Linked DNA regions of Rattus norvegicus. The main gene of each other region encodes a partner of the protein of the gene in region 3 in a complex. Links are inferred from orthologs where the notes say so. Each region holds a gene or a part of one and is shown on either strand. Other genes may lie near its edges. The genes, in order: Parva, Rsu1 and Lims1.

The links.
Region 1: Lims1 (region 3) and Parva share a complex: the UniProt entries of both Homo sapiens proteins name them as parts of the heterotrimeric IPP (ILK-PINCH-PARVIN) complex. The link is inferred for Rattus norvegicus from reciprocal best matches to the Homo sapiens genes LIMS1 and PARVA.
Region 2: the proteins of Lims1 (region 3) and Rsu1 are in contact, whole or in part, in a crystal structure (PDB 7LT9), measured with the Homo sapiens proteins. The link is inferred for Rattus norvegicus from reciprocal best matches to the Homo sapiens genes LIMS1 and RSU1. Residues at the interface, in NP_001180417.1 of Homo sapiens: Cys252, Phe253, His254, Cys255, Asn256, Leu267, Asn268, Lys269, Ser279, Thr280, Cys281, Asn282, Thr283, Glu293, Phe294, Asp295, Met296, Lys297, Cys303, Lys306, Phe307, Pro308, Glu310, Leu311, Arg314, Leu315, Lys317, Leu318, Ala319; in NP_036557.1 of Homo sapiens: Asp21, Ser23, Asp24, Gln44, Val46, Ser48, His49, Val67, Asn69, Phe71, Asn72, His90, Asn92, Met95, Glu112, Asp115, Thr117, Tyr118, Arg137, Ala138, Tyr140, Ser142, Asp143, Ile161, Ser163, Arg165, Asp166, Glu184, His186, Gln188.

Annotation. Positions count from the first base shown.
Region 1 is NC_086019.1:176,124,512-176,128,661, reverse strand, and holds part of Parva (alpha-parvin), read right to left. Parts: intron 4,042-4,150; coding exon 3,980-4,041; intron 3,494-3,979; coding exon 3,425-3,493; intron 925-3,424; coding exon 823-924; intron 1-822. UniProt on the Homo sapiens protein: Plays a role in sarcomere organization and in smooth muscle cell contraction. Required for normal development of the embryonic cardiovascular system, and for normal septation of the heart outflow tract.
Region 2 is NC_086035.1:81,096,966-81,101,279, forward strand, and holds the end of Rsu1 (ras suppressor protein 1), read right to left. Parts: exon of another isoform or gene 1,612-4,314; coding exon 1,509-1,611; 3' UTR 902-1,508; downstream 1-901. UniProt on the Homo sapiens protein: Potentially plays a role in the Ras signal transduction pathway. Capable of suppressing v-Ras transformation in vitro.
Region 3 is NC_086038.1:26,851,316-26,856,265, reverse strand, and holds the start of Lims1 (LIM and senescent cell antigen-like-containing domain protein 1), read right to left. Parts: upstream 3,257-4,950; 5' UTR 3,193-3,256; coding exon 3,161-3,192; intron 1-3,160. UniProt on the Homo sapiens protein: Within the IPP (ILK-PINCH-PARVIN) complex, binds to F-actin, promoting F-actin bundling, a process required to generate force for actin cytoskeleton reorganization and subsequent dynamic cell adhesion events such as cell spreading and migration.

The DNA.
Region 1 (4,150 bases), on a different chromosome or scaffold from region 3:
TCTTCCTATCCCACTCCACCCCTGCCTCAGTTGTCAGGACTCCAAACGCAGGGGTAGCAGTGCATGCATTTGCCTGGGTCAGATGGCAAGGCATGTTCAAGGGGACCTCCACCTCGGGCCAAATGCCTTTCATCTAGTCAAGTAGGATAACAATGGCCCCTGAGGGCAGAATCAGGGCAGCCCAGAACAAAACAAAATCACCCAGTTCTTAAAAGGGCTGGAGATGTAGTTTAGCTCAATTTATAGCCATCCGACTTCTGTAATCTCGGTATTTAGGCAGCTAAGGCACGAGTACTGTACGGTCCAGGCTGGTCTGGACCTCTATATCAAATGGACCCCCTCCCCCAAATAGAAAAGAATCAGGGGTAGGAAAGATGACTCATCAATAAGAGGGACTGCGTTTTGTTCCTAGCACCCATGTGGCTCACAACTGCCAGCTCCAAGGGATTTAATGCCTTTTTCTATCCTCCACAGCACTTAAACATACAGGCACACAGATATAGACACATTGCAAAAAAAAAAAAAGAACCAGCCTGGCCACAGACCTCAGTGCTAGCTGGTTCAGGAACTACCTTTCCTGTCATCTCTGACAGAGACAGGTCTGGCTGTGTATCTAAGTTAGGGAGGCAGGGATAAACAAGGGGTGAGGAACAGTGTTCAGGATGCCCAGAGTCTCACATGCCAAGCCCAGCAGTTACTAGAGTGGCTTCATCTCCAACCAGCAAAGGCCTGGCCAGGAGGCTGCCTCCATCTTTTTCTAGACAGGCCCAGGACAGGTGGTCTGAACGCAGGCTATGGATTCCCAAGGCCTCTCGCCCTTACCTTCTGTTCAAAGCTGTCTGGGGTCAGGAAGAAGCTGTGCAGGGGTACAAAGTAGCCCTCCAGGAGCCCCATGAGCAGCACCAGGTAGACCCCATCTGCAAACTACACAGAGAGCCAGGTGTCAGCATGAACTTCCTTCATCAGTCTGGCATCAATCCACCCAAGGCCACCTCAGAGGGCAGGCTAATGGTGAGAGAGAGTCACAAGGGGCAAGTGGCTGGAGTAGGGGAGGGCTCCACTGGGGAGGCAATGTGGAAGCTGCCCTTGTGTCACCTAGCTTGGTCCTCAGCTTAATCTTGTGGAATAGACATCAAACCAATATACCCCACTTCACAGGGGAGAAAAGTGAGGTGCAGGGGGAAGGCTACCCTGCCTACTAGAAGGGACAACACTGTATGGAGCTATCGGGAGGAATGACAGATGATGGGCAAGGAGAGTGACGTAAGGCCCTTCAAGTAACTCTACTATTGGAATGGAGAACGTGGTGGCATCACCCAGGCCTGCCTTGTGTGTCCCTCCAGGCCTGGCTTCTGTGCCCGTTCCTCGTGATTCCAGAGGCAGCACAGTATGGCTGCCAGAAACGCAGGTTCTGACTCTAACCCTACTATTCAGCTCTGGGACTGCACTGTCTTTGCACTGTCTTTTTCTCACCTGTAAAGTGGGGGTGCAGAGGAGTCATGCATGTTCCACAGGGCTAGCACGAGGACTATATATAACATATATAAAGCACTTGAGGACCTGTTTGATATGTAGGTAGCACTTACTAAGCACTAGCCTTTGCTATCTGGAAAACAACAATGCAACAGAAATTCTTTCTGACCAAACAGAACTCTCTTAAGGACCACAGAAAGGGCCTTGAGGTCTGGACTAGGGTTGGGAAACTGAGCCCAAGGACCAGACTGTCGGGCTAAGAGCAGAGTGCTTTGTTCAAAGGAGACGAGCTGCATGTCCAGGGTGATCAGGGCAGTGATGGCCTGGAGTGAGTGGATTTTGGAAGGACTCAGTGTCCAAAGGTGCTTATCTGATATCCTAGCACCCCTTAGAGGATGCTGGACTACCGCATGTCTGTCGACCGCAGATGCTAGAAGTTGCAAATCACACTTCCTGCTGCTGCCCTACTAGGAGAATGAAGTGAACTAGTGTCTGGGTCTGGAGCCTCTTCATTCAACTTCCTAGAAGACAAAGAGGCCTCAAGCCCAGCTGGAACTAGGGTAGTCCTCCATACTCTTCTGGGCCACCTCAAGCAGGGGCGGCCTGTGCCTGGCATCCCATTCCACCCGCATGGGTCCTGGAGAGGGCAGCTCAGAGTCTCTGTGGAGATCAGAGCCCTCGGCAGTGAGGCAAGCAGCAAGGCTGGGTCTGGCTGTGGCTGGAGTGGTCGAACCTGTGGACAGATGCCAGAGTGGCAAGCAGCCTCCTCTCACACAGCAGCCCTGGCTCTGAGTCACGGGGAAGTTCCAGAGATCATTCTAGATGCTTTTCTAGCAATGTTTCAGATTGCCCCAGAGTTTGGACATACCGGAAGAGAGCTCTATAGACGACAGGAGGTGCTCACACTTGGGTGCAAGTCAGGCAGCTGTAGTTTACTCAGAATGAGAGAGGATGAGGGAGGTGGGGGTGTACAAATTATAGCTTAGTTATTAAGTACTAAGGTACAAATGGCTGTAGCAGATTCTACCTAGAGTCCAGCAGATACTGCCTTGGTAGTCTCTTTTACCACTACAGTGGGGCTAGTTAGACAAACGCCAGTAACAGTGTCTCCTAAGGAGTGCTGGCGTGGACAATGAGCAGTCTGGACAGCATGCCGATCATTTGATTGCTACTTTTCAAAATCACCAATGCCAGCCTAAAGGGAGGAGGGGCTTACGATGCTCTAACACTAGCTGAGGAGCAGTTGATGGCTGCTGGAGGGAGAACAGTTGGATTTCTTCTGAGGTGTGCCTCTGGTCCAGTGGATGGTCCTACACTCATGTGGACAGGGCCAGTTCTAACTGGACTCAGTAGGTTATTTATTAAAAAAAAAAGAAGAGGACATAATGTTGGGAGAAGGGTGGGGGTGTCTGGGAAGATCTGGGATGAGGGAGTCGGGGTAGATATGCTCTAAATATAGTATATACCTGGGTGAAATTATCAAAGAACGAGGCGACAACCAAACCCCACTGATGTCCTTCCAAGAACGTATGAGTGTTAAAGAGGGGTTGAGAGGATGGAACAGACATTTAAACACAGGGCAGGCGACAGGAGGGCGGTGACTGTTCTCTACCCATGACATAAACCCATTGCTCCAAATCAGCCAATATCACTTCATGAACCCCTCTAAACAGACGAGTATAAGGTACCAGTGCTAAGACTGCCTGCATCCAATCAGTGCACAGTGGTGCTCTAAGACTGTACTCGTTCAGAGGTGGAGAGAGAGAGCTTGGCCATGTGTTGTGTGTCACATACAGAGTAGTTTCCTGAAATGTTTCTAAAATCAGCTGCTGGTGGTGGTGGCACGGGGCGGGGTGAGGGATCCCCATCCGGCTCATCTCTCTGAGAAGAATACATCTCACATCTCATCCCTCCGCCTGGAAAACTTTGGGTCCCTGGAACTGTCACCGACCTGCGTCTCCAGTTCTGTGACCTCCAAGTTCAGTTTATTCAGGTGCTTGTTCACGAACGTGATGAGGGTCTGAAAGAGAAATGCAAAAGTACTAAGGTAGAGATCTCCACACGTGAAAGTGCTCTGGGGCCACAGGGAGAGACATGGCCTCTTGGTTAGGCAGCCCACGTGATATACAGGGTTTTGGCTGAAAGGGACAAGGAAACCCTGAGAGACAGGATGACAGGTGGAGTGTATGATTTGGGGTCAGTGGGGGCAGAAGGGGAATGAAGAAGAGGGCAAGAGACAAAAATGACCCCCTGGGTCCCTCTTGTTGATCCCTGTTTGGTATCACCTCCTGTCCCCAGGGAGAGGAAGGGTTCTGTGTGAGGGGCAGAGAAAGCTAGAGTCAGTGTGAGCAGGAGGATAGGGTAGGCATCCCACTGTGAGAAGATGGGCCCTGGATGACTAACCAGTGACAAAGAGAGGAAAAAGATGTCCAGGACACCCTACATGCAAGCTGGGATTTCCTCACGCACTGCAGGTCCCTGCTGCCCCTAGACAGCATAGACCTACCTTCTTCACCACATTGAGTTTGTCTGGTGCATGGTCAAACAGTGTGTCAAAGGCATCGCGTTCTGAAATAGAAACACACAGCATGCAGTAAAGCATGTAGTCCCCGAGTAGCTACCATGGGGCTCTCTGGCTGATTCTTACCAGAGCCCATGTCTGCGTGGCTATCAGATG
Region 2 (4,314 bases), on a different chromosome or scaffold from region 3:
ATTAAAAAGAACTTCACGGTGAAGCAAACTCAGTTCCCGTAGACAATATATCATGTAGAAGTCGAGCGAGGCGACGGTACCTGAAGCTCGCCCCACACTCCCATGGGTAAGGTGTGCCCAGGGTATTGATCAGAAGTGAGACTCCGAAATGCTGTGTCCACTGAGATAAATGAGGCCATGAGTTCAAGGCTTTCCCCCCTGACGCCGGTTCACTTAGAGCGCAGCTTAGGCACAGCAATGGGCAGTAAAGACAGCACAGGAGAGAAACATGTCCTTGTCTCACAGACCACTGAGAGTGTATTTCGCCTTACCTGTTTTTGTTGATTGGTCTCAAAGTACCCCCACAAGACTTGTGCTTGGGTTTATGTTCATCTCCACACACCGCTGCTGGTGAGGGGAGGAGCTGCTCACTGCGGATGCTTAGTGACTGGTGGTTGACTGGCTCTGCCAGGGTAGTCTCCATCTCGGGTGTGGTATAGATTGTGTGCGTTTGTACAAGTTCCTTGGCATTGGCCTCTTAGGAGAATGCTTTGCTGTGAACAGAGTTCTCTCTCGACACACTGGGGCTTTTCTCCCTCTTCTCTCTCAGCCCTTGTCTAGCAGACGCTGGCACGAGTCACAGTTTTGTTTAGTGCAAGGATGCTGCTTTCCAAAATCCTCTGGCAGGATCTCCTAGAGATTTGTTTTTCTCTTCCTTCCTAATTTAGAAACAGTCTTCAAAGGAAAAGAAGAAGGAAAAAAAAACCTGACAAATTGATGTGAGAGGAAACGAACTCTGATTTAATTTTGTATTTGTTTCACGGTAAGGTCCACAGATTGTCATCTACAATCAATAACATTAGAGGAGGTAAAAAAAAAATTAGGGGGGAGAGAAATAATAAAACACATGGCACACCCCAAGACTAGGTTATTTTTTTTTTATTTTAGTCAAGAAGAGAAGTGTGACATAAATTCAAGATTTTATTGAAATCATTTGGATGTTAAATGAACATAATAGCTTGGCGGTGAGGGAAGATTTTTAATAAGGCACAATAATGAGTTATACGAATAAACAGAAAGAATGAAAAGTGTTAACTGTGACATTTAAGTGGTTACATGATTTTAATTATTCTTTTGATAATAAGCAGTCTTGTGACGTTTATTCAAGGAACTGAAACCAGTGCCTCCCATGGAATTTGCAGGAGAATGAGAGCTTTGTTTTCTGCCTTCGGTAATTTAAAAAAAAAAAAAGAAGAAACAAATGAGCAGGAATGTAAGACTTTATAAAAAGTGCACCCCTCCACAAGAAAGGTGCAAAAGGGAGGCTGCGTTCAAGCACCAGGAGGAGAAAGGGAAAAGAATTTTCTTTCAAAAAAAAAAAAAAGAAAGAAAGAAAGAAAAAGAAAAAGAAGAGAAAAGTAGGCACCAGCACGCTGTTGTTTGTTTGTGGGACAGAGCAAGGATGGCCAGAAGAGCTAAAGCTTCAAGGAGGCCAGAAACCAGTGTGTGTGTGTGTGTGTGTGTGCTCCTCATTTGTTCTTGGCTGCAAGGGGTTTCCGGCTGATCTTTTTGGATTTGTCGTTATTCTTCTTTGGGGGTTCTGGGTTGGCTTGCATGTGTCTGCCGTAGAGGCTAAAAAGAGAGAGAGAGAGAGAGAGAGAGATGGGGGATAGTCATGAGCTCTGTTTACTAGTCTAAGTTTCCTAAGGACGAACTCTAAATATTCAGAAACGTTTGACAAGCCCAAAAGAGTTCTATTGATTCTGCCCCATCCACTCCAAGACTTGACAGTTTTACACATGCAAGCACAGACGTGTACTTATGTGTATACAGCCTGTATGGCAGTGTTCTATTGTGGACAAGGGTCTTGGTATTTTACCCTTCCTGGGCAGGGTGAGGGAAGACAGGATCTTCGGGACTGCTGAGAACAGGTTATGTACACCAAGCCCTTTCGGAGTTGCATTCTAAAAACCGTAGTGTTTTAAGTCTACAAGGACAAAAGATCCCCGGACGGAGAGACACTATCCATTTCATTAGAAGTGAGCGCCAATGCTCAGCCCGAGAGCCCAGGGGCTAGTTAATGTGACACAGAGCGGTGGTGTTGGAGATCGTGCTGGCTGCTCATGTGTGATTGATGGTGCAGGGATGGCCACCACACATCAATGCCACATTAATAAGTACCACTGATTAAATGTTGACAAAGTGCCCCACAATTACAGTGGATGGTATCCATCGTGCAAAGGATTTAACTGAGCGGTGGATAGTAATTAATCCATAATTTATGAGTGATTCTGATTAAACAGAATTAAAGCCACCCTAAAATAAATAGAGCTCAGCCTTAACTCCCTTTATTGACACAACTGTGTTTTCCAGAGTCCCATGCACATCTCAGCCCTCAGTATCTTTGGAGGAAAGGACTGGCCTCATTCCAGTCATTGCTTCTGCTATTGACTAATGGAACCAAGAGTCAGCCAAGAGACCTGCTTCTCTGTGTAAGGAGCCACTGGTTCTAATACCCACTCAAGGAGTCATCCATTCATTTACAGTTTGTCTCTGTGTATATTTACGAACTATTTTATGTACTGTATGCTGCTAAGGAAGGAGTCAAGGGCCACCAGACTCGAGGCAAGTGCCATACCTCGGAACGACACCCATTCCTCCTGGTTTTTAATGCTAACACTGTATGTCTATGCACTATGTGTAGAGCACAAGGATGCGCTTGATTGGCATCAAGACTATGGCTGACGGGCTGAGGGGAGGGCCTGGCAAACGGAGCTGTCCTCTGGGTAGGCAGCAAGCCAGGCACGAGTGTTTCAGTAGGTAACATGATGCTCTCTCTTTTGTTGCCTCCCAAGTGTCAGTTTAGAAACTGGTTGTTCCAACAGTGGCGAGGGAGAGGTCTGCCCTTACAGAACAGAGAATTCATAGGCGCTCATAGGAGATAGGAGATGGCGCCCAGAGCCAGGTGCAGGGACGAATCTCCAGGTAAAATGGAGTCATTTGCTTGTGTACAGGTTACAAGGGAACTTACAGAGGGATAGGCTTGGGCTCTTACAATTAGAAGCTCCAGAAGTTTGTGCTGACATAATGGTTAGGCTAGCCTGGACACCTGGGGTCCTGTAACCCAGTAGGAACTAATGATTTCATGGAGCACGAAACACATCCAATCTTAGTTCTGTCACCCAATTCCCATGTTGTCAATATCGCTGCCTATGTATTGCCTTGCCAGCATCTCTCCCAGAGACAAACATGAAGGACCTTGAACCAAAGCAGAGCTGTCTACCCTTCTCCTCACTTTAATCTGCACATTCGGAAACACGCTGTTCTACCAAATGGCCTTTGAAATCTCTTCTCCAGTGGCTGTTTTACCGGAGGCCACACATTTCATGCTCAGGGGCTCCAGGCTTCCCCAGAGGCCCCTTTTCTCTGAGGTCCTCTCATCTGGCACACAGCCAACATCTGACTTTGTTCTGCGTGTTCACAGGGCACCCCTGATCTCAGGATGGGTGGGTACACAGCTTTCTTATGCTTTTCCTTTGTCTTACAACCTCTTATCCCCACACAGGAAAAAGGAATATACTCGCTTGAATGCAAGACAACACCAGATTCGACTGATTATCCAAACCAGCGGAAACAAGACAGTTCATTCATAAGTGTTCTGGTTTTAAATGCAAAATTTCCTCAAAGGCTGTGTTTGAACACTTGATCTTTAGACAGTGGCACTGGGTTTTGGGGGGTGGGGAGGAGGGATGTCTACGGAACCATTGAGGCATGGGGCCCAGCTGGAAGACGTAAGCCATTGAGAGGAGATCTTTAGAATTATGGCCTGGGTTAGCATCTGGTCCCACTCTGCTTCCTTATCATCAAAATGTGAGCCAACCATGGCACAAGCTTTCGACGCTATGCCTTTCGCATCACGATGGACTGACATTTCCTGAAATCAAGAGACATAATGAATCCTTCCTTCTTTAAATTGTGTCTGTCAGGTATTCTGTCATAGCAATGAGAGAGGCTAACTAATATATATCACATGGAATTGCAGAACTAGTACAGTATCAGGAAAGGCGTGTCAACAACGAGAGGCCATGGAGGGTTAAAGAGAGCTCAAGTCGAGCCAGGACTTGACTGGCGTGGCCTGAATGAGGTGAGCCACATGGGCAAGCAGGACGTTCCCTAGGGGAGTGGGATCCGGAAAAGTCAGTTCTGAAAGAGAAGCAAAGCTCTCGTTCCTTTAGGGAAAGAACAGGAATGACCTGGTGTTTTAATTGCGGCCTTTGGTACTCAGTCCACGCTGTGTGTGCCTGGACTTCCTGTGGGCTTCATTGCAAGTCACTA
Region 3 (4,950 bases):
CTTCCTGAATTAAGAAGCCATAGCTCCAAGCAGCTGTAAGAACTGTAAAGTTAACAAGTGGTTTGACATGTTTTTCCTGCTATTTTAGTGTGATCCTACTCAAGAATATGATCTGAACTGAGGAGTACTTCCACGATTGTCTGAAGAACAAACGTGGGCTATTGAAAATACACTTGTGGAATCAAGCTCTGCTCTCTCACACTATGGATTTCTAAGGTTGCTTGAGTTTCTCCACCTGAAGGAGAGGCTGCGCCCTCCCAGGAAGGAGATAGCTCACTTCAGTACCCACACTTAGCAACATAAAAACTACCAAGGAGAAGAGCCAGGAGGCTCACACAATGGGAGAGAATGCAAATGCTAAAATCAATATAGCGCAGTCTCATAATAAATAAGTAAGGGCACAAGCCTGATGGATTTTTTTCTCCAAGACTGCAAAGCACAGAGCAGTTAAAGAACTAAGATATTTCAGGGCTAGAAATACAGTGGTGCAGTGCTTCCCTTACATAAAACCATGGGTTTGACCTCTGCAGAAACCCATGAAAAACAGGCGAGACTGTCTTTAATTCCAGCATTCAAGAGGAGGATGAGAAACTCAAAACCAACCTTGGCTGCCTTAGTTTAGATCCCTGGTTACTTTATGTTCTTGGTTACTATGGCTACATAGCAAGTTCAAGGCTGGCCTAGACTATGAGACCCAGTCTCAAAACAAAACATCCCACCAGGCCTATTTCCCTCCTTCAGAAGCAGACAAAGGACACTGCAAATTTACAAAGACACTAAGTGCCACCAGAGTTTCCCTGTTCATGATGCAACTTCCCTACAGGAACTTTAGGACCAGGGTTGCTCTTCAAGTCTTAGTCAATAAGTCCTAAGAACCAAGTCAAAATCCTGCCTCAAAGAAAGAAAACAAACAAACAGATTGCCCAAGAATAAAAAAGACTATAGCTCTCATTCAAGAAATACTTTGGGGATTGAAGAGAGAGAGATGGCTCAGTGGGTGAGAAACACTAATCTTCCAGGAGACCCAAGTTCTATTCTTAGCAACTCACAACCACCTGTAACTCCAGACTCAAGGTCATCCTCTGGCCTATGTAGGTATATGCACATGCCCATATATATACATAACGTTAAAAAGAAAACCAGAAATACTTGGAAGGCCATGATAGTTTTACCAAATTCTTTACATAGAGGATAAGAATGTGAATTTCTCCTTTAAGTGTCTGTCCTTGATGAAATAAATAATACAGCCATTCTGGAAAAACATTCTGTTCATTTCTTAAAAAGCTAAACATAAAAATTACTATATAATCTGGTAAGTTCATATGCTTAGACATTTTTTATAGAAAGGTAAAACATGTCCACACTAAAACCTATTCATGAACAGCCACAGTAACTTTATTTTTAATTCCTAGAAGAAACCTGCCAATACCCCAAATATCTTTCAGGTACATCCATACTATGTATCTATGGCACATGAAAGGAAGACTGTGTAACTCCACTTATCTGGGGTACTAAAAAGTTAAAACAAGGGAGAAAAATGGTAGTTGCCAGGACCTGGGGGAACAAGGAACGAAGATCTGCTCAATGTGTACGACAGCTTCACTTTTGTAGCTGTCTGAGGGCAATGGCAATGGACCAATATGGATGTACTTAATGCATAAAAATGGGGACAGGGCACACATGGTGGTCAAGAAAACAGACAGGAGGATCACTGACAAACTGAAGGGCAGCCAAAGAGTGAGATTCTACACAGTGAGATTTGGGGTGAGGAGACAGGATCAGGGAAAGCCACCAGACCAGAAACATACTTGAGGGTCCTACAAAGACATCATTCTCTTGTAGTCTGAGATTATACTGTACATCCGTTCTTCTTTACAGCTCATTACCAATTCCCTCTCAACTAGACATTCCACACATCTTTCTTTTTCAGGTGAAAAATGTCCATGGTGAATACAATTGCTCATGTTGAGCACAGTGGTTATACAAACTCTTAACTCTTGGTCTTCTCTTCCTTGGTGCCTGGAACCCAGGGGTATGTGTGCATGCAGTGCTTCTGCTACATACCAAAGTAATCTATCTCAAGGAAAAGCACATGCTATGTTAAGCACTGTACTGAATTGGAAGCATTTTTCTTGAAGTAAGATTTGTTCAGCAAGAACAACAAAAAGACAACCACGGTGACTTAAGACTCACATTTAGGCAGACATTTCCTTGAAACTAAATCATGGGGACAACTGACAATATTTTGTTGACACTGAGAAAAGTTACGATTTCCACTGAAAATTGCAATGCTGGAAAATGAAGCATCTTGAGTTTAACAGCTTTGATGATGTTAACAAAAGTCATTGAAAGACATTAATACGATATATTAGCATCCAGAACCTTCCTTAATAGGGTAAGCCGATAAAACCCATTACAATGAGTAACAGTTCCATTCAAATACAAGACAGCCTGAGGAATTTTCATATAACTGTGAGCTCGGGTTTCATATCAAAACTAGCCTTAAAAAAGAAAAAAACACCTTTTGAACTTCTGGCTCTATCATAAAGAATACCCACAATTATTTGGGAAAGCTATTCGAATATTTCTCTTCACGCGGTCCATCTATTTAAAACCAAATTTCCTTTAAATAGTTCATTCAAAACACATCACAACAGACAATGCAAAAGGAGAACCCAGCTGCTTTTTTTTATTAAGCCAGACGTGGACAGGATCTGTAAAATATGTAACGGGCTATTCGTCTTAACTTTTCTGTTTAGGGTATACTATTTTCATTAAATTGCGTTATGTATGTTAATATATCACGTATTATTCAACGAATAAACATTTTACACGTCCGTGTTCATTTCTAATACAACAAATGTTAACAACAAATGAGTGATCCTAAGACCCTCTGTTTCGTTCTTCTAATCCGTAGAATGTATTTCACATTAAGATCCAAACTCTGGGACAGCATCTGCTCTCACACCCCTAGGCCGCACAGGACAGCTCAGCCGGACCACGAAGGCCTCTCCCGCCTCCGGCTAGGGCGGTGCGTGTCCGGGCCTCTGGCCAGCCGCAGGCCGCACGGCCGCGGGGAGGCAGAGATCGCCCGCCAGCCCGGCCCGGCCCAGAGTAGGCTCGGGCAGCGGCGGGTCGCAGAGCGCGCGCGCGCCCGTACCTGTTGGTCATTCCGGCCGCCACGCCCAGCATCTCCGCGGTCCACGCCGGGTCAGTCTGTGCCTCAGTGCCCGCCGCGGTGGCCGCACCCTCTTCCCTCGCTGCGGCGGCGAGCGGCAGATTTGAGGGCCGGTCCTAGGCAGGAAGGGGGCGGGACGAGGCGGCCCGCGGCCACTAGCCTGTAGTGGCCCGCAAATGGCGGCGTTGACCACGCCCCGAAGAGCGCCAGCCTGGGAGGCGTGGCTAAGGACCTCCAAAACCGGGCTGGGGCGGGGCGAAATTTTGAGAGGGCGTGGGACCGTGTGCTGGGGTGAAGTGTAGACTGGGGGGAGAGCCGGGAAAGGGGCGTGGCGAAGTCAAGGAGCAGCGGCTTGGAAGTGGAGCCTGGCGAGGACCCTCCAGCATTGGGCCGTTACAGGTCTTGGCCCCGCTCCTTAATTGTCATAGCTCCTCCTTCCTCCACTTAGTTCCACCCCCTTCTTCGGCCTGGCCCTAAGCCTGCTTTCTCCAAGTTTGGCTGTGGGTGCTGCTCCTGGCTCCAAGCAGGCAGAGAGGCTTCTGGGTGTTCCAGGGCTGGATGGCCACAGAGTCTAGCGGCCGGGAACACTTGGAAGGGCGTGATGGTCAAAGAACGAGTAAGAGTACCCGTGGCTTGAGGCTCTGACTCGACTCAACTTGGCGTTAGGCTACCTAATCGGTCTACAGAGCGTGGGTACAGGGTTCCACCCGACCTGCGACGGTCCTAAGGAGATTGTGCCAGTGAAGATGCCCTGCAAGTCAGTCTTCCAGGAATGGAGGTCTCATCTGGATTGGCCATTTCCAGTGGGAACTTCCTTGCTCTTGTTAGAATTTTGGCTGGCCTGCAAGATGGCTCAACAATTCAATCCCTGGTGGAAGGAGACAATCATCTCCAATTGTCCTTTGACTTCCAAACACGTATACACAATCAACCCAAAAGAAAAAATGTTGCCATTTTGGGATAGTTGGGTAAAAACTGGCTGCCTCTTGATTAGTGGTTTTTAGTTTCATCAGAGCAATGCCATTTGTGGAATGTGCTCTCAGAGCAATTCTACTTCTGTGGTTGACCAGTCAGCCACAAAGAAAGCTTAGAAAAGTATGGTTGTTCTAGAAAATGGGATTGAATTTCTTACTGCTCAGCTTGACAGTATCTCAGAATAAAAAAGGATGCCACCATCACAATTTCTTTAGTTTCGTTCTGTCTGTCAGCAATCAGCTTTTAAAAACAAAATTTGATATTTGGAAGTTTTTCACATAGGTGTGAATATGCACACCAGAAATACAAAGTACACACAAATTGAAAAAATGATGTGTATGAGTGCATTCATGTATGTCTACTTACCACCTATGCACCCTTCAGAGACTACAAGACAGTGTTGGAGACAGATCTGGGGTTACAGATGTTTGTGAGTTTCCCTGTCTGTGGGTGCTGGGAACTAAACTGAGATCCTCTGCAAGAGCACCAAACATGCTTCACTGCTGAGCTATTTCTTCAGCCCCACAAAGAATTATTGGAAGGAATATTCAAAATAAATAGTTAACTATGTATTTTTTTTCTGAGCTGTGCATAATGGTGCACACCTTTAATCCCAGCACTTGGGAGGCAGCAGCAAGTGGATGTCTACGAGTTCTAGGCCAATCTGGTCTATATAATGAGTTCGAGGGCAGCCAGAGCTACATAGTGAGATCCTGTCTCCAAACAAACAAAAATAAAACAAAAACAAAGAAAATGGTGGGATTTTTTTCCCCATCTCCTTTTGTCTTCACCACACC